4 linked regions of the Caenorhabditis elegans genome follow. The protein of the gene in region 1 interacts with the protein of each later gene in a pairwise test. Each region holds a gene or a part of one and is shown on either strand. Other genes may lie near its edges.

What was found.
Region 2: the proteins of exc-6 (region 1) and set-24 interact in a two-hybrid assay, tested with the Caenorhabditis elegans proteins (one large-scale study listed by BioGRID).
Region 3: the proteins of exc-6 (region 1) and bath-15 interact in a two-hybrid assay, tested with the Caenorhabditis elegans proteins (one large-scale study listed by BioGRID).
Region 4: the proteins of exc-6 (region 1) and siah-1 interact in a two-hybrid assay, tested with the Caenorhabditis elegans proteins (one large-scale study listed by BioGRID).

The regions. Positions count from the first base shown.
Region 1 is NC_003281.10:1,101,688-1,106,249, reverse strand, and holds the start of exc-6 (Excretory canal abnormal protein 6), read right to left. Parts: upstream 3,043-4,562; 5' UTR 3,027-3,042; coding exon 2,898-3,026; intron 2,126-2,897; coding exon 1,682-2,125; intron 1,208-1,681; coding exon 1,025-1,207; intron 857-1,024; coding exon 759-856; intron 1-758. UniProt on the Caenorhabditis elegans protein: Constitutively active protein required for microtubule and F-actin growth, structural maintenance and organization during excretory cell tubulogenesis.
Region 2 is NC_003280.10:12,127,916-12,132,722, forward strand, and holds the start of set-24 (SPK domain-containing protein), read right to left. Parts: upstream 3,054-4,807; 5' UTR 3,031-3,053; coding exon 2,809-3,030; intron 2,178-2,808; coding exon 1,737-2,177; intron 986-1,736; coding exon 789-985; intron 65-788; coding exon 1-64.
Region 3 is NC_003281.10:7,774,163-7,777,830, reverse strand, and holds bath-15 (BTB domain-containing protein), read left to right. Parts: upstream 1-1,797; 5' UTR 1,798-1,816; coding exon 1,817-1,929; intron 1,930-1,971; coding exon 1,972-2,353; intron 2,354-2,404; coding exon 2,405-2,552; intron 2,553-2,597; coding exon 2,598-2,749; intron 2,750-2,804; coding exon 2,805-2,951; 3' UTR 2,952-3,154; downstream 3,155-3,668. Other genes in the region: Homeobox protein mab-5, read left to right, coding at 440-562. UniProt on the Caenorhabditis elegans protein: Probable substrate-specific adapter of an E3 ubiquitin-protein ligase complex which mediates the ubiquitination and subsequent proteasomal degradation of target proteins.
Region 4 is NC_003282.8:3,742,238-3,747,906, reverse strand, and holds siah-1 (E3 ubiquitin-protein ligase siah-1), read right to left. Parts: upstream 3,860-5,669; 5' UTR 3,771-3,859; coding exon 3,584-3,770; intron 2,789-3,583; coding exon 2,627-2,788; intron 2,574-2,626; coding exon 2,340-2,573; intron 2,084-2,339; coding exon 1,508-2,083; intron 940-1,507; coding exon 885-939; intron 740-884; coding exon 694-739; 3' UTR 556-693; downstream 1-555.

The sequences.
Region 1 (4,562 bases):
ATAAGCCAAAAAAGGGGCGTGGCTTAGATTTAAAAATGGGCGGAGCCTAATAATGAGCATACTTTTCTAAAAGTTTCAATTCAATTAGCTCGAACAGAGCAAAATTGAAATTTTTACTATTGATTTTTGCAGAGTTTTTCCAAATTTTCCAAGCATTTCGCAATAAGCCAAGAAAGGGGCGTGGCCTTAATTCGAAAATAGGCGGAGCCAAATAATATTGATTTTTTCAAATTCTAAACAAAAAAAAATTGAAATAAAGTTAGTTCAAGCTTGTTCGAATGGAAAAATTCATAAAAAATTTCCCCATTTTGCAATAATTTCGCAATAAACCAAGAAAGGGGCGTGGCTTAGATTTGAAAATGGGCGGAGTCAACTAATATTGATTTTTTTTTTCAATTCTGAGCAAAATAAATTAAGACAAAGCTGCTTAGCTAAAAAATTTCACAAAAAAAATCATAACTTTTCTATTATTTCGCAATAAGGGGCGTGGTTTGGATTTGAAAGTAGGCGGAGCCTAGACTTGATATACTTTTTTACAAAAATATTTGCAAATGTTAGGCTGTACCCATTTATAGTGCAAAAAGTGGGCGTGACTTATAATCAATATTTCACAATAAGCCAAGAAAAGAGGTGTCGCCTAAATTTCCGGATTACCGGAACCTGGTCATGATTATACCTAAATTGAAGCGCTCAGCAAGCTCAACTCGAATTTCACACTTAAAAATCCAAAAAAATCGGGTCTCGCAGCGAATACTCACCGTAAGCGATAGAATTGAATCTGCACTAGACGGTAGAAAAAGCTCGATGGAGGAGAAAGTAGGGAAATGTCACCGGTGTATCGTCGTAGGGCTTCTTCCTGAAAATTTGAAGATTTTGGGGAAATTTGAATTTTTCATGAAAAAATCTCAAAAAAATCAAAAAATTTTTCGAAAATTCAATTTTATCCAAATTTTCGCCGAAAAAAAAATCGATTCCCAATCGATTTTTGGCGCTAAATCCGAATTTCCCATTTATTTTCACTTACCTCTTCACTTTGCGGCAGCATTCCAAACAAATTCTGCAAAGCATCTATTTCGGCGACCGGCTTGTTTTGGCTGACGTCATCGATGAGCTCATCGATATTTTTGAACTGTTTCAGCATGATTGCCACGTTTTGACTACGTTTTGCAGTTAATAATTCTACGTGGGCGTCTTTTCGTGTAGATTTCTGGAAATTTAAGGAATTTGAAATTTTCAGGAGGAAAAAAAAATGTTTTTTTGGGTTGAAAATTTTTTTCGAAATTTTTTTATAGTTTTTTCCCAAAGCTCTTCTGTAAAACTGTTTTGTTTAAAAATCTAAATTTAATTTTTCAAATGCTTCAAAATGACCCCCTACACGCCTACATTCCGTCAAATTTGAAGTTTTGGGTCTCGCCACGCGGGGTACTGTAGCACCGGTTTCAGCTGTGTCAGAACTCAAAATAGCCGGAATATAGGCATGATGGATGTTATATCAAAAAACTTAATAAGAAAGTTCCTAATTTGTGAATGAAATCTTGTTAAATAAAAAACTTCCAAAAAAAAAAACTTTTTTGGAAAATTTCAAAAATCGATTTTTTTTTCAAATAATTTTTTTCCAAAACTTTCATAAAACTGTTTTTGTCTAAAAATCTAAATTTAACAAAATTAACAAAATTCCTACCTTGACCACCTCGGCGGCTCCCGACACCGCCAAGCTCTCAATTCCAAAAAAATTGTCGAGTAGATCAAAATCGATATCCACATTGCTGGCTTTCGCCAGTTTACCCCAGACACTGTCGTCCTGAACCACACTCGCGTTGATTTTCGACCACTGAACCGTCCGTGTTTTCGTCTTTTTCTCTTTTTTCGGCAAAAACGAGGTGGGACACTCTTTGGGCCGAGGCGTGGGCGTTTTTAGGCTTTTTGAAGGTGTTTTCAGGCCCAAAATTGGCGGTGGCGGTGGAGCTTTTAGGGTTGGAGGAGGCGGTGGGGGAGGCGGTGGAGGCGCCTGTTGGAGTATTGAAATTAAAGGCGGGGGCGGGGGCGGAGGAGGGGGCGTGGCTTTGACTATATTGTCGTTGGGATCCTTTAGTTGTAGTTTTTGCAATTGTCGTTCTGCATCGGTCTGGAATTATTATTATTTTTTTTTTTTTTTTTAAGAAAAAACGTTGAAACAAATGGGCGGAGTTACAAATGGGCGGAGTTTAGTACAAAGTGGGCGGGGCCGAAATTAAGGTTTTTGTTGGCAAATAGTCAGTTTTTGGAAAAAAAAATTTTTTAGGCAAAATAGAGAAAACTTAAGGTTAAAATTATTCATCTCATTGTCAAAAAGTTAATAAAGGGGCGGAGCCTAAGCCAAAGTGGGCGTGGCCTAATTATACGTTTCTGAAAACCCATAATTAGCTGAGTACAAAAAAACATTCAAAATTTTTTTAAATCTTAATTTCAGAAAGTTACAGTAGGTTTTTCACTATTTCGCAATATTTTTAAATAGGGGCGGAGTCAAAAATCAATATATGGGCGTGGCCTAGTCATGATTATACGTTTCTGAAAGCTAAAAGCATGGTATATTCAGAAATGTTAAAAACATTTTTTGATTATTCATTTTGGTAAGGATTACTGTAGTTTTGCAAGTATTTCACAATAGGGGGCGGAGCCTAAACCAAAGTGGGCGGAGCTTAGTTATGATTATACTTTCTGAAAGCTCATAACTAGCCGAGTACAAAATAAATACTCAAACTTTTCTAAATCTTAATTTCAGAAAGTTACAGTAGATTTTTCACAATTTCGCAATATTTTCAAATAGGGGCGGAGTCAAAAATCAATATATGGGCGTGGCCTAGTCATGATTATACGTTTCTGAAAGCCCACAACGCGCCCAATTCAATAAAATATACCTGAGAACTAATCAATTTCAGCTGATCGATAATTTGTGATAAGAAGAAGGCGCGAGCCTCGTTGCTGCTGCCGCCATTCTTGTCAAGTAGCAGCTCGTCGAGAGTTTGTCGAATTGTGTCGCTCGTCATGGTTTTTGCATCTGCAAAGTGTAGAGTTTTTGATTAGAGTACATTTTTTGAGCGAAAATTGGGGATTTTTTTTAGAAAATTTAGGCAATGGAGGTATTTTTTGAAAATTTTTAAAAATAGGTCACACAACTCGGCCTGGAAAAATGTGGTCAAAAAAATTCCAACTAAGAAAATGTGTACACAATTTTAAGAGCTATAAGAGCTATAATTTATATACTACAAAAAAAAATTTATAACGCATAAAAACCCGCCGAGTTATGCGCCTTTAAACAATTAGTCCCCCTGGTAGAGCTCAGCTTTAAAGGCGCATAACTCCGCGGAGAAAGGAGGTATCAAAAATTTGTAAACGGTAAAAATGTGCAGAATGTCAAGAGCTGTAAGAAATAAATGTTTGAATTTTAAAATTCGCACTTTTCATACGAGTTATGTGCCTTTAAACACGAACGAGCACACTCGACCCTGTTGAGAAAAGGCAGTAGACCCAGCTTCAAAGGCGCATATCTCCACGGAGGAAGGAGGTATTCACAATTTGTTAACAGGGAAAACGTGCAGAATTTTAAGAACTATGAGATGTATTTATTAAGATTTTAAAAGATATTATTTTCAAAAGAGTTATGCGCCTTTAAATAAGATCGAGCACTCTCGACCATTTTGAGTAGGCTCGCCCAGCTTTAAAGGCGCATTACTTCGCGGAAAAAAATTTTGGCCAAAAGTTGCAAACTGAGAGACTGTGCAAAATTTCAAACACTATGACTTGTATCTATTTTTATTATTTTAATTTATTAAAAAACAAAATTTTCTAAGGAGTTATGCCTTTTTAAAGAAGCAAGCGCAATGTAGAGTAACTGGCACACCAATTTTTGAAAACGTAAAATGAGCAACTGCCAATCATCATTCCAATGCAATATTCGATGGCTTAACACCTCATTAAAACTCTAGTGTATGTGTCAATTAGAAACTAGTTAGGTGGTAAGCCGCGAAAAAGTTTAGAAAGATCAAATAAAAAGTTGCCCCATGACAAGATTTGTTTGAACAGAGGGGGTGTACTATCGATATAAAAGATATTATACAGTTGTTGTGGAAGACTCTCGAGTGGGGCTCATTAGCATATTCAATATTCACACACACAATAGAGATACACAAGAGGGGAGTGAGTACAAATAAAGATGATATAGCAGCCAGCGGGAGATCAAAAATGCGAAATCTGTGGTCGTTGCGCGATATCCCCCCCAGGTAAACAGACTGGAGGTACTTGGGTGAGGATGATGATATCCGGGATATTAACTGGATTGGTTGAGGGGGGGGGGGGGGGTAGGTTTTTGATAAGATGTGCTAAGGATGATAGAGGGTGTTAAACAAAAATCTGTCATGACGACACAGACAAATGTTGTTTTAAATTTTATAGATATTGGTACAAATCTCAGTATTTGACTCTAGCTTCTTGCCCAAGTTTGGCCCTAAAATTATTAACTTGGGCAAAAGTTGGAGATGTTGGGGGGCCCAACTCTTGCCAAACTTTGGCTTCAAACTGGGGTA
Region 2 (4,807 bases), on another chromosome or scaffold:
GGCTTTCGTTTCTAGGTCAAATCCACGGAGCAATGGAATTCGCATTGCCAAAACGCGGAGGAAGCTGAAAAAGAATCGATTTTTTTTTTTAATTAAAAAGTTTGAAGGTGGTGTAGTCAAGTTTTTTTTTATTGCTTAATTAGACTCAAAATTGTCTGAAAATACCGAATTTCATAATGAAACTTCTTGAAAACTTTTCAAAAAAAAGTTATGACGGCTCAAAAAATGGCCTAAAATTGGTTAAAATTTGAAATTTGACTTGACAGCGGCTGGGAACTAACTTTTTTTGAAATCACCGTCAAATTTTGAGTATACAATGTAATTATCTTGCGTTTTCAACTCGATTTAGGTATTTTAAAGTCGATTGACGGCGAGATTAGGTTTTAAAAAATTAAAAATCTCTCCGTCCATCGACTTTTAAATACCTAAAACGAGTTGAAAACGCAAGATAGTTACATTTTATACTCAAAATTTGACCGTGGTTTCAAAAAAAATTGTTTCCGGCCGCTGGCAAGCCAAATTTCAAATTTTAACTGATTTTAGGCCATTTTTTGAGCCGTCATAACTTTTTTTTTTGAGAAGTTTTCAAGAACTTTCATTATAAAATTCGGTGTTTTCAGAAAATTTTGAGTCGAACAAATCAATAAAAAAATTCGAATACACCACCTTTAAAAATTGGAAAAAAATTTTCTAAATTTTTTAATGCTAAATTTCTGAAAAAAAGCAAAAAAACTGAAAATTTCACAAAAAAACTTGAAAAAATCCCATTTTTTCAGATCAAAACGAACCGATTATTGAGATAATTTTCCGAAGATGGATTCTCATAAGTATCAATATACTCTTCACATATTTGAAATCGAAAAAGTGGACGAATCTCGTCGGAGCTCGATTTTTGAGCCAAAAATTGCAAAAAATCCACGTCAGCCGATGTTATTTCAGCGGTTTTCTGCTCCGTGGTGGTGATTTTTTGTGGTGGCGGTGGAGGCTGAAAATTCATAGAAATTTGCAGGTTTTTCAGTAGAAATCGAAATTTTTGGCTCAAAATTTCAATTTTTAATCATTTTACTGAAAAATTAAAGGAGGACTAACGGTTCGGACGATTTTGAACGTATAGACCCAAAATGAGCTCAAATGAACGAATTTCGTAATGAAACTGCTCAAAAAATTTTCAAAAATTTTTTATGGCGGTTCAAAATTTTGAAAAAATTACACTGATTTTAGCTAAAATCTCGATTTTTTTCCATTTTTCCGTGTCACATTTGTCCGAAGTTGGCTTTTTTGGAATGATCGTCCTTTATTACATATTTTGGTAATAAATCTCATTTAATTTCGTCGATTAAAGTACATTTAAAGCCGATAGGTAACCAAAAATCATCAAAATTGGTTACCTATCGGCTTTAAATGTTCTTTAATCGACGAAATTAAATGAGATTTATTACCAAAATATGTAATAAAGGACGATCATTCCAAAAAAGCCAACTTCGGACAAATGTGACACGGAAAAATGGGAAAAAATCGTGATTTTAGCTAAAATCAGTGTAATTTTTTCAAAAATTTTGAACCACCATAAAAAATTTTTAACAATTTTTGAGCAGTTTCATTACGAAATTCGTTCATTTGAGCAAATTTGTTGGTCTATACGTTCAAAATCGTCCGAACCGTTAGTCGTCCTTTAAGTGTAAAACCCAAAAATTCCGTTTTTTCCGCGTTTCTTCAATAAAAACTGTTGAAATAACCTTAGCCATCGATCTAGGGGTAAAACTCCTCGCAATAGCCCGATTCTTGCTCCAAAACTCTTTTTCCTCGGCAATACGTGCTCTTCCTAACGCGGCAAGAACTCTACGGCTTTCCATTGGACATTCGATCATTTTATCGAAATGTGTGGCACAATGCAGTGGAGTTTCCGATAGAATCCAATTTTTATCAAATGGAAGTGTGATTTCGTGATCTTGAAGAATCACTTTCGTCGATACAATCATTACTCGAAAATTGCTCTTTGAGCCGAGAATATGACGGAGAGTACTGTTATTTTGGCATGAGCGTCTTGTGATTTCGCTATAATTTCCCAGTTCGGAAGTTGTGATGCAGATTGGTTTTCCGCCGATTCCGTAGTACATGAATGTTCTTGGAGTACTTCCGACACTGCATGGAATCTCTGGTGGCAGCGACATGAAACCCTGAAAAGATGAAATTTATTGCAGGGGTAAACGATTTTTTTCGGCAAATCGGTTTTTTTCGGTTTTTTCGGACAAAAAAATGTTTTCCATAATTTTCTTGTTCTTAGAATTTTTTTCAGTTATTTTTGGACAAAAAAAACAAGAACAAAATGTTTTTCAAAAATTTAGGAAAAACATTTTCAAAATTTTTCTATGAGTAATTTCTTCTTTTTCCGGGTTTTTGGAAAAAAAAATTTTTTTTTTTGGTTTTTCAGAGATTGGTTTGAAGTAAAATTGTAAAAATTTCGTTTAAAAATTGTTTTTTTTTGGTTTAAAAAAATCTAATTTTTTTAATTCAGGAAAATCTCCAAAAATCGAAAAATTAAGAGAAAGTCCAAATTTTAAAAATGCGATTTTTTCAATTCTCGCGATGATATTCCCTCCAAAAGGAGAACTGCGACCAATCAGTTTCTTCGAACTCCGCCCACTCCATCTGATTGGCCAAAAAGTGGGTGGAGCGAATCGCTGATTGGTCGCAGTTCTTGTTTTGGGAGATTTCTTCGCGATTTCTTCTCGATTTTATCAGTTTTTTTTTCGAGCAGCGCCGTTTTTCGAGCAATTTTTCAATAAATCGGGGGAAAACAAGAAGCACCTTCATCTCAATAATCGGTTTATTAACGAGAATCGTTTTGTTGGCGACGAGCACATGTTCATGCTCATTTCTCAGAGCTCTCTGAGCATTCTGAACGATAACTGTCCGGTTGAGAAGATCATCTGCTCCAAGCATAACAGGCTGCTTGGCGAGAAGACTCGAGACAGCCGGTGAGAATGTGTTCGGATTGTTGAGCATGTCGAGTGTTTCGTTGAAATCCATGATTGTTCTTGTGAAATTATACACTGAAAATAAATATTTATATGTATTACTTATTTTTAAATATTTAGTAAAACTATGAAGAAATACGCAATTTCGCACGTCAGCGAACAATATTAATTTGACAATGACTACGGTAGATGGCGGAGTATGCAAAGGTTTTTGCGTACTTTGCATCATACTTTACGAGCAAATATTTTCATCGATTTTCCAGCTTTTTACAGGTTTTTTCGGAATTTCCTGTAAATATTTGCTCAAAATTCGATACTAAATTTACAAAATTACGTGAAATTCATATTCGAGAAAAATTTCTTTGCAAATTGGATGAAAACCGATTTGAATTAAATTCTAAGTTTTTCGAGAAGTGGATCTCATTTTTGAAAAAAAAAACCAGTTATAAGTATAGAAAACTGAATTAAACATTAATAAAAACCAATTAATCTGAACGTATTTAAAACAAGAACATTTATTGAGCATTCGAAAAAAAAGGAAAATACGGGAAAAAAGGAATTTAAAAAAATGTTACAGTGGAATTTCTTTAGGTGCATTATCGCCGGCTGATAGGGAACATTCAGCAGTTGGGAGAACATCAGGAGCTGGAGAATGTGATGAGAATTTGCTGGATCGCTTCCTGGGCATCGACGATGAGGATAACCTGAAATTAGAGATATTTTTGATTGTACAGCTCTTTTTTATTTCAAATACCTTTTCAGCGGCTCCAAAATTCTTAATCTTATTGTCGATTTCCTTTCGAAAATCGTTAATGAGTGGAGACTCCAATTTGAGCAGAACAAATTTGAGAATCGTCAAGAACGCCTTGCCACACTTTTTCGATGAGTCCGGGTAGCCACTGGATTCGGTGGACAATCGGAATTTTCGTGTAGTTGTAAGGAGGAACAACTTCAAGGACAGGATCACGTCTTGTGCATCGAGTTGCTGAAAAGAAGGTATTTGCTTTAGAGTTGATAATGTATATCTCCGGGTACCTCATCTCTGATTGCCAACAAACGCAAAATTTTGACTTTTAAGCCAGTGAAATCACTTTCAAGGTAGATGAGCATTTCCTCCAATTGTTTCACCAGCTGATGCAGGCTGATTCCATCCGAGTTTGATCCATTAGTTGTAGCACCGACCATCTGCACGTTCATCAGCTGCACATTCTCCTTTCTCTCTGGCTCATCAAATCCGGGATTTGCAAGATTGCGGGCCTCTGCGATCACTGGTGGAGCCTGTTGGATTTCCGGATTGCGCGACCTGTGTCTGTTGAGAAGTTCGTCGTAGGCGGTTCGATCAACTGGTTCCGGTTTTGGCACACCAGGAACCGATCCCACAACTTCCATCTCGTCATCCGACATGTCTTCTGCAATTGGAGCTGATGTTCTGTAATAATTAAGATTTTAAGTTTGAATCCACGAGACTGTAAAGTTACCCTTCTCTATCACGTCTTCTTTTTAATGATCTTCTTGCCTTCGCCGGCACACTATGATCTCCTTTCAATACGATTGCTCAATCTCTCGAGATGTATTCGGTGATTCGATTTTTGTCATCGAGACTGACCTTGCCAGTTTCTTCCATTCTGAAATTAATTTCTATTTTTATTGAATGTAACTACGATTTTCCAACTTACTGTTCGAGAAATTCCGCATTGACTTCACCGGCCAGAGCAAACATTACACGAATTCGAGATTAGACACCGTATCGCGTGAATTTGTCCATATGCCGTGCGATTCTTCTATCGAACCTGAAAAATTAAAATAGAAGTTGAAATTTCGAATGAATA
Region 3 (3,668 bases), 6.7 Mb from region 1:
ACTACCGACAGATTTAATGCATAATGAATGATGATTTATTTTAAACAAGAATAGGGAATTATTCTTCAATTTTTTAAAATAATTTTTCTATTAAAAAGTTTTAATGGTTTTTTCGAAAATTCTTATTGCAAACACAATTTTAAAACCAAAAATTGTAGTTTCTTACTGATAATCTAGATAACAAAAAAGCAAAGTAGAATAATCACGTGGAGTCAAAAAGTCCCATTTTGCTTTGATCTTCGAAAAAATGCGGGAGAAGTGACGCAGACATCTGATCTGATTTCGCATGGTTAAGACTGTGCTGACGTCACAATTTTTCTGGGAAAATATTCCCGCATTTTTCGTAGATCAAACCGCAATGAGACAGCCTGACACCACGTGAATAATCTGTTTTGTTTTAATAAATAAGTATTTAATAGATACAATTAACTTTTTGCAGGTAAAAATCTGGTTCCAAAATCGTCGTATGAAACACAAAAAAGAGGCAAAAGGAGAAGGTGGAAGCAATGAATCAGATGAAGAATCAAATCAAGATGAGCAAAATGAACAACATTCTTCTTGATTTTCACTTTTTTTGGTCAGAATCTAATTTGAATTTCTTTTTACCTCGTTTCCGGTCGCTTTTCATTGTTTTGCTCCCATTTTTGTCATTTTCCTTTGATTTTTTGCATTCTTCATCGGTGATATATTGCTTTTAAACGACCTGAAAGGATTCCACGCCCTTTCGACGGGTCTTTGTTTTTATTGATTATTTCTCAATTTCTTCCTTTGCTTCTTTGGGATTTGATGATCTCAACCTTTGTCTCGAAAATTGTTTTTTACACACTGCTAGCCTATTTTTTGATTTTTTTTTCTTGAAAATTTTTCTACAGTAACATATCTGTTTGCTTTGATTTTTGGAGATGAAATTGATCTGTCATTATGTTTCACAGAGGACCTCACAAATTGAAGGACATTTGTGAAACGACACATATTTCACTGTGCCAGATGCAAAAGAAGATTGTTGATATACCATGTAGTTATAAAAAAGTGAACTGAGTTACGTCACACTAAAAAATTATATCGTCGATTTCTAATGAACATAAGAATCTGTAAAACTGGGCCACAAAGTGTGAATATGTACTGGATGATTGGTAGTAAAGCTTCATTGATTGCCTCCAAATAATACCTTAGTAACACTTGAAACTTTAGAAATAATTATATAAACCTGAAAATATCTTTTCTACAGTACCTCGCAAAGAAACTGCAGGTTTGAGATGTCCAATTTCTCGGAAAGTTGATTAGCTTTTTTAATTTTTTTAAAATTTAGTCATTGATTCACTGGTACTAACTAAATATCTCTGTGAAAATAAATGTATTTTTTGTTACTCATCTTTAAAAATTCGTCAACCAGGTTTATTCTTTTGCAAGTTCAAATATTTGTATATACTTTTGCAAGTTCAAATATTTGAGCAATATTGACTCCTTTTTTTATTAAGGAGTCAATATTGCTCAAATATTTGAACATTGGCATTATTTTCCGAAGTAGAAACATAATTAAATACTTTATGCGTTTTAGAAGGATCTATCGATGGTAAATAGTATAAATGCTGCATTTCGAACAAATAGTCAGCGAACTACGGTAGATGAGAGAGTACGCAATGAACATAATGCATTCTAATTTACGCACATTAGATTTTTTGTAATCTTTTTTTTTTCGTCAAACTTTGCAAAGTTATCGTTTTTCTAGCGGACAAATGACTTTTAATTTAAAAATTATTTGATTTTTTCGACTTTTTGAGTTTTAAAAATGTTTAATTTCAGCAAACTCTTCAAAATGGTCGCCGCAAGCAAGGAATTCGTGTTTCATCACACTTTCAAGGATGTTTCACAATTGGAAGATGGCGATTTTTTTAAAAGCCCCGAAGAAATTCATTACAATGCGGAATGGTAAGTCTTATCCAAGTCATAGATTACATAAAATATCTTTAGTTTCAGGTTTATATTGGTTATTCGCACGAAAGATCAACTGGAAGCGTACCTACACTGTGACAATGAGAAAGATGACAACGTCGCCTGGACAGTCGACGCCGAATTCAGCTTAAAAATAGCTTCATCATCAGGAAGTTATGCAATGAAATTCCAAAAGGGATGTTTCGATGGATTTGGACTGGGATGGAATGATTTTGTCAGTTGGGACTCATTGACAGAAGATTTTCTATACGATAATAGTTTTACTATTGAAGCATGTGTGAAGATCACAAAAATGACAGGATTCTCGAAAGATGTGCTCAGAAGCTTCGATGAATCAGAAAAAAGATTTTCCGATGTGATCCTTGTAGTTGGAGACGAGAAGTTTTATGTTTTGAAACTAGTAGGTTTTTTTTACAATCGAATTTTCCATTCAATATTCAATATTTTTCAGTTCCTGGCGTCTCATTCTTCATATTTCAATGCACTTTTTCTTGGAAAATTCAAAGAAGCCGATCAATCAGAGGTTACACTCCAAAACATCGATCCGACCGATTTTCAGAGCCTTTTGGAGGTTCTATATGGAGAACCTGCGATTGATGGTTAGATATTGAATTGATTTTAAATTAAAATAATTAAATTTTCAGATGGTACCATCGATGGAGTTCTTCTACTTGCCCACATGCTCGATGTTACCTTGGCAATTCGAAAATGCGAGGAGTTTTTGATCGAAAAGTCGATGAAATCGATGAGAGAGCTGTTAAAAATGGCTAACCAATATCAGCTGGAGAATTTAAAAGTAAAATTTTATTTTTTGAAAATTCCTGAAAACTAAAATAAATTTTGATTTTCAGACCGTTTGTATCTCGAAAATCAACACGATCGATGAGATTGAAGCTGCAATGGCTTATAATCCGGAAGAAATGGACCCGATTGTGCTGGCGACTCTCCTCAAAAAATCCACGGCTCTTCATCGATCTGCGATTTCTGATTCAGTATAATCATTTTTTTCCTGTTTTAGCGCTAATATATTATTGTGATTTAGTCTTTGATTCGCTGGTACTAACTAAATATCTCTGTGAAAATATATGTATTTTTCTTTTACTCATCTTTAAAAATTCGTCAACCAGGTTTATTAAGGAGTCAATATTGCTCAAATATTTGAACATTGGTCTTATTTTCCGGAGTAAAAACATAATAAAAAAACTTTATGCGTTTTAGAAGATTGAAATTGACTGAGTTGGTCAATGGCACAGTCTCCTCCGATGGAAATTTGCATTAGCGCGCACTTGCATTTTTGTTATTTTCATGAATTATTTTGCACTGAAAAAAATGATGGTTTTTTGTGACTTGAATTTCTCTTCGAAACGGTGTTTTTACGTTTTCATTTTAGGTATCAAATGTTAAGCAGGAAAAAAACTGTTTGTTGCATCATTTTGGGAATTTTTAATGAAAAACTGAACGCGCTGATACAAAAATTGTCAACAATTACACTCGAAAGTTAGAAAAAAAAAATTATTTTTTATATTCTTTTCGGTTATTAACGCTCTGTGCATGTAAAAATAGTTTCTAATTGTTATTCGCATGTCTGGCTACAATATGGTCAATTTCGGATGGATATCAATGCTTAATTTATGGTTTCATTACGATTTCACGGAACAGCCTGGCCAACAGTTTTCTGAAATAGGGAAAAATGCTCAAAGAAGATGCAACTGCAG
Region 4 (5,669 bases), on another chromosome or scaffold:
TAAAATCAAAATTATAAAAATTATTTAAAATTTTATTTGCACTCTGTTATAAATTTTGAAAATACTCAAATTGTGAAAAATTGTTATGATGCAAATTTTCCAAATAAAAAAAACTGAGAATGAATTAAATTTCTTTAATTTTGAAAAAAAAAATGTTTTTTCTCCAAAATTTCAATTAACCATCAAAAAAAGTTCAAAAAAATTTATTCAACATGATTAAAGTATAAAATCGTAAAAATTGGAAAGAAAAATGTGGCTATTACGCAAGTGGTTCAAGAGACAAAAAAAAAGTACAAAATATCGATAAAACAACACAGGAAAGCTCGTAAAATGTGTAAATCGAGTGTAAAATACAAAAAAAAAGAAATTTATAAACCAAAAAAAATTGAAAAAAAATCCGTAGTGTTCTGTGGTTATCCATTCCGAGTCATGGAAGGATATGCTATACAGATAATTAATATTTTGAGGCGGGGGCGGGGGGGGGGGGGGGGTATTCTACATTATAAAAAAAAATTAGAACAAAATATAGTTTTTTTTTCAGAAAAAAAATCCAAAAAAAAAATTTTTTTAATTTTTAAATTTTTTAAAATGTTCTGATTGTAAGGGGATTTTCAACTGAATTTTTTAAGCTTTTCATCACATTTTTGAAGAAAAAAATCAAAAATAATTTTATTACGTTTACACTGTGCATATCTAGTCGTACTCGAGATCAGAATTTTCCAACTCATTTGGGTGGCGCCTGAAAAAAAATCAGTTATTAGTTTTTTTTTTTTTTAATTAAATAGATTAAAATTGGCTTATTGAAAAAATGTGTTTTTTTTGTAATTTTTAAATATTTTCAAACATTTAAACTTGAATTTAAAGTTTTTAAATACAATTCTCACCTCTGTGGAGTATCTATTCGGCTAATAGTGACGTTGATTCCAAGGTTTCCGTTTTCTGAAAAAAAAAGTTGATTTTTGTTGAGGGTAACTTTTAAAGTTTATATTCCGGAACTGACAAAAATTTTGCTACTAAAGGTCGATGCACCATATCTCGCCCAACTTTAAAAACTTTTCAAAAAAACCTCTGCGGATTTCGGTTTTTATTTTTATTTTTTAATAGACACTTTGTTAATATCTTCAAAAATTGACCGAGTTTATCAATCTTAGAAATTTTTGGTCGATGCACCATGTTCAAAGGAAACTTAATTTTTTTGGATTTCTGGTTCTATCGAAAAAGTTCCAACTCACAAAATATTTGTTCTCGTGTTTTATATAGTTTAGCGGTTACATTTTTGTTAGCATTCACACACTTAACCGGGGTATCGGCTGTTAAAACTATTTCGGTCGATGCACCATGATGCACTCAACTATTCCAGCTGTATCCCTTGTCTAACAAAGTTACCAAAAAAATTGTCAACTCACAAAAAAAGCTGTTTTTGCTCAGTTTTAACAAAAATTGAAAGCTCAGTTTTAACAAAAATTGGTAATTTCCGATTAAGATAAAAGCAAAAGTCAATGCTCACCTGCAAAAAGCTGTGCAGCATTTGAATCGAACGCTAGGCAATCCGACTGTTGAATGGCCACTACCACCCCCTCGTGGATGCTTCTCGGTGTGGCTTCCCATGACATTCTCCGGCGGCTCGCCGATAGCTCAAGCCGGTACACAAAGTTATCAGCTTCCTTCTTCGAGCCAATCAGCTGAACGACTGCGTAGAACATCTGAGTTGGCTGAGCTGGATCGTACTTTTCCTGCTTCTCGAGCACCAACATAAAATTATAGTCAAAGCAGCTCTGCATCATAACCCAGTCAACTGCTCCAGGAAGATTGATGTCAGTGGCCAGGAAGACGATATCCTCGCCTTGAAGCGTCGTGATGCTCTTGTGGATCTTCTTCAAATGCTCCATCACATCCGACAAGCCTCCCTGCCACTTGCAGCTAGCTCCAGGGCACGGGCAGCAGTAGGGTCGGAATTCGCAGAGCTCCTCGTGCTCGGTCTTATCAGCGTGATGGAAGTTCAGGGGGCAGCCGGACGTAGAGAATTTGCATGGAAAGCGGACGGTGTTGGCGATCTTCTCGAGGCCCAGGTTGCGGACAGAAGCTGTAAGATTGAAGGTTTAGTCTTGAAATTTGAGATATACTCTGAAACTTTGAAGATCCGTAGATCCTTGATTCGTTAGCTACATTAGAGAAACAACACAGCTAAAATGCTTAGGCGCTCGACTGAGACAGATCGATCAACCAGAAAGGATCTTAGTCTTCTATCATATCAGCTCTGCTCAAGCTGTGGTAATTTTTTCAGCTTTGACTAAACTCTTCTAGTCACGCAATTTTCAAATTTCAACTTCAAAACTCACGAGTTGGACCCCGACAAGTCGGGCAGCACTGAAGCTTTGGTCTGCAGTTCGAGCAGACAAGATGTCCGGATGAGCACTGCATGTATGGTGGCAGCATGTACTCCAGGCATACCGGGCACTCAAACACCGACAAGATCTCTGCACTGCTGTCGTCGGTGGCTCCACCGCCGCCGATTGGAATATGTGGTGCGACGCTTTGGATTCCTTGCGCGGTCGTCGTTGTGTTGTGCGGTACTGGAAAATTTTACATTTTAGCGTTACAGTTCTGAAAATCAAGAAAAACTCACTACTTCCCGGGGGATTACTCTGAACTCTGGCCATCGTTTTGCCAAGCACTGCGGTTCCAGAGATTGTTGACACTGCAGACGGTGGCGATGCCGACATCCGAGGTGTCAATCCGATTTGACATTGCTGTTGTGTGATGCCTGGCGGGACCGGTGGAGGGTTGCCTGGAAAGTAAAATTTAATGGTGCTAGTTCTGGGCTCCAAGATATAGTTTCACACTTACTTCGCTCATTGAGCCAATTTTCAATACACTCAATAATAAGCGCATTCACTACGCAGCAGCAAGAACGCATGTGGGGGAAAATGCGATCATCATGAAGCGAGCGAGCTCTCCGAGAGAGTTTTCAGCAGGTATATAAAAACTAGGGAGGGGCTCCGAAACACCGCTTTACGATGCATATGTCGATTATAACACAGAGATAGAATAGCGAGTTTTCTCTCGGGGGTGGGAGTAAAGAGGAAATGTTGAGTGACTTTAATTGGTGTCGTTTTGGATGTGGGGGGGGGGACTAATGACTGGTGAGCACGCATGGTTGGAGAAAGCAGGGGATTTGGGCTCCGGCTTAAAGGTTTGGCTGGCTGAAGGTAGTGGTGTGTCGGAAAAATCACGTGGTGTCAGAAAAAACCCCTGCCATCACGGTTTGATCTACAAAAAACGCGGACTTTTTTTGCGTAAAACTTTCTTAAGCCAAATAAAATGAGAACTATGCGTCTCAACTCGTGCATTTTTTGTAGATCTACGTAGATCAAACCGAAATAGGACATTCTGGCACCAAGTGAAATGCTGAAACAGTGATCTTTTAATCATGTCTCAATTAATAATACTCAATAGAAATTCAAAAGCCGACTCTCTTGATTCCGTTGGACAATTAAGTCCTTTCTTTAATTTTGGGCCGTTTCTAAGTTTCGGGGATGAGCAGGCTTTCAAACAAGACTCAAAGTTTTCAAAAAAGTCTCACCATTTGAGTGATTAACCATATCTTCGACTAAAGAATTGCTAGTCTGATGTCTGGATAGATGATTCGCTTGCGGAGCCGAATCGCTACTATTATTATCGTCCTCCTCAAAGATGAGCTGTGTACGACGAAGAGACTCGATCACGTCCTGATAGTCTCCTCCTCCTCCACCACCGTTCCGATTACTCATCAGCGAAGGCAGTCGAGATGACGAGGACGACGATGTTGGAGGTGGTGGGTGGTTCGGTGTCTGCGGATGCCGCCGTCTTCCCGTCGTCTCTGTAATTGGTGAGTTGGTGATAACGAATTGTGAGTGTTTTGTTGTTGTCACGTGAGAAATAGTCGCTGGAGGTCAAATTGTGAGGAATTACGAAGAGAGTAAAGTTTTTAGAATAGGTTTGTTGAATCAGGAGTGGCACGGGGTCTCACATGGTCCCATTACGATTTGATCTACAAAAAATGCGGGAATTTTTCGCCCAAAAAATGTGACGTCAGCACATTGTTAACCATTTGAAATCAGTTGGGAACTCTTCGTCTCAACTCCCGCATAGTTTGTAGATCTACGTAGATCAAACCGCAATGAGCCACTTTGACACCACGTGGCAATTTTTTTCCGGCAAATTGCCGATTTGCCGTTTGCCGGAAATTTTTAGAGGGATTTTTTAATAAGACGGAAGCACTTGAAACAGTGTCATTTTGAAAGTTTTTTTTTCCCGTTTTCTTTAGATACATTCATTGAACTTGCTTACTTTTCAAAATAGATGTAGGAACATTCATAGGATGCGTACAATTTTGCCAATTTAAATTAAATTTCTAAAATTTCCAGAAAAAAATGTGGAAAACCACAATTTGCAGAAAAATGTTTGTGAAAATTTTTTGCCGGTTTGCAGTTTTGTCGGAAATGTTCATTTTCGGTAAATTACCGGGAAAGTTGTGCAAAAAAAACAACTGAGGCTCAAATTTTTTAATTAAAGATTTACTAGGAAATTTTGAAAATTTTATATTAAAATTTGAAAATAATCGCCTAAAATCAATGCAATCAAGAACAAAAGATGAGAGATGGGCTAGGAAAATCAATAAGATAAGTAAGGGATAAGGTCCGATTTTCATGAACTTGAATACCTAGTATAGATACTAGATTCAGTAAAACGTGATTGCAAACTATTTGAATAAGTGACTTTCTAAAAATGGAAATTTGAAACATTCAAAAAAAAATGTAATACATTCACAAAAATCACTGAAAAGTTAAATTATGGTTATCTTAAACGAAATAGTGATGAAATCCATGAAGAAAGTGGTAATTTTTTCGGGAAGTATCAATTTTAAGGTTCTATTGTCCACACAGACACTTTATAAATCAAGTCGCAAGCAGAGAACAACAACAAAATCTGGCAAAAGAAAACAACTTTACTATTCGCTTTTTTTTAGCTTTCTCTAAATAATATTTTCAAAACCTAACAAAAGGATTAAAACCCTCAAATTCGACGATTACTTTGCATAAATACACAATAGAAATACGAATAAGAGAGTGAATAAAACGAAGAAAAGAGGCGAAAGGAAGAAAAATATGAAATAAAACGCGTTCTGTGTGCGTACTCTCTCTCTCTCTTTCTCTCTTTCACATCTTTTCACCAACGAATGACTGACCGGGATAGTGTGGGTGGTGGAAGAGACGACAGAGAGACCGACGACGAGATGTGTGGGCTTGTAAGAGAGTCTCTGTGTTTCTCTACCAGCTGACATGCGAATGAGAATGAATCAAATCGATTTTTGAAGAGAGAGAGAGAGAGAGAGAGAGAGACGGTTGGAGGGAAGGGATGGTGAGAGCGATTTTATATGAAAGGCGTATCAGGCACCAATAACCTTTTTAAAGTAAAATTTCAAAAATTGATGGTCATGCACTGTTGGTCATATGGAAAGATCAGCTGTTAGGGTGACTGGTACCCGGGTCAGGTGCTTGTGCTCTCGGTGGTCGATGAGAGGCAGCATAGGGAATGTAGCAATAATAATAAAAAAATAAAGTGACGTTTTATTGAAATTCATATAAGGAAATGTAAGGAAATTATCTGAAGGAAATAATCTCAATAAG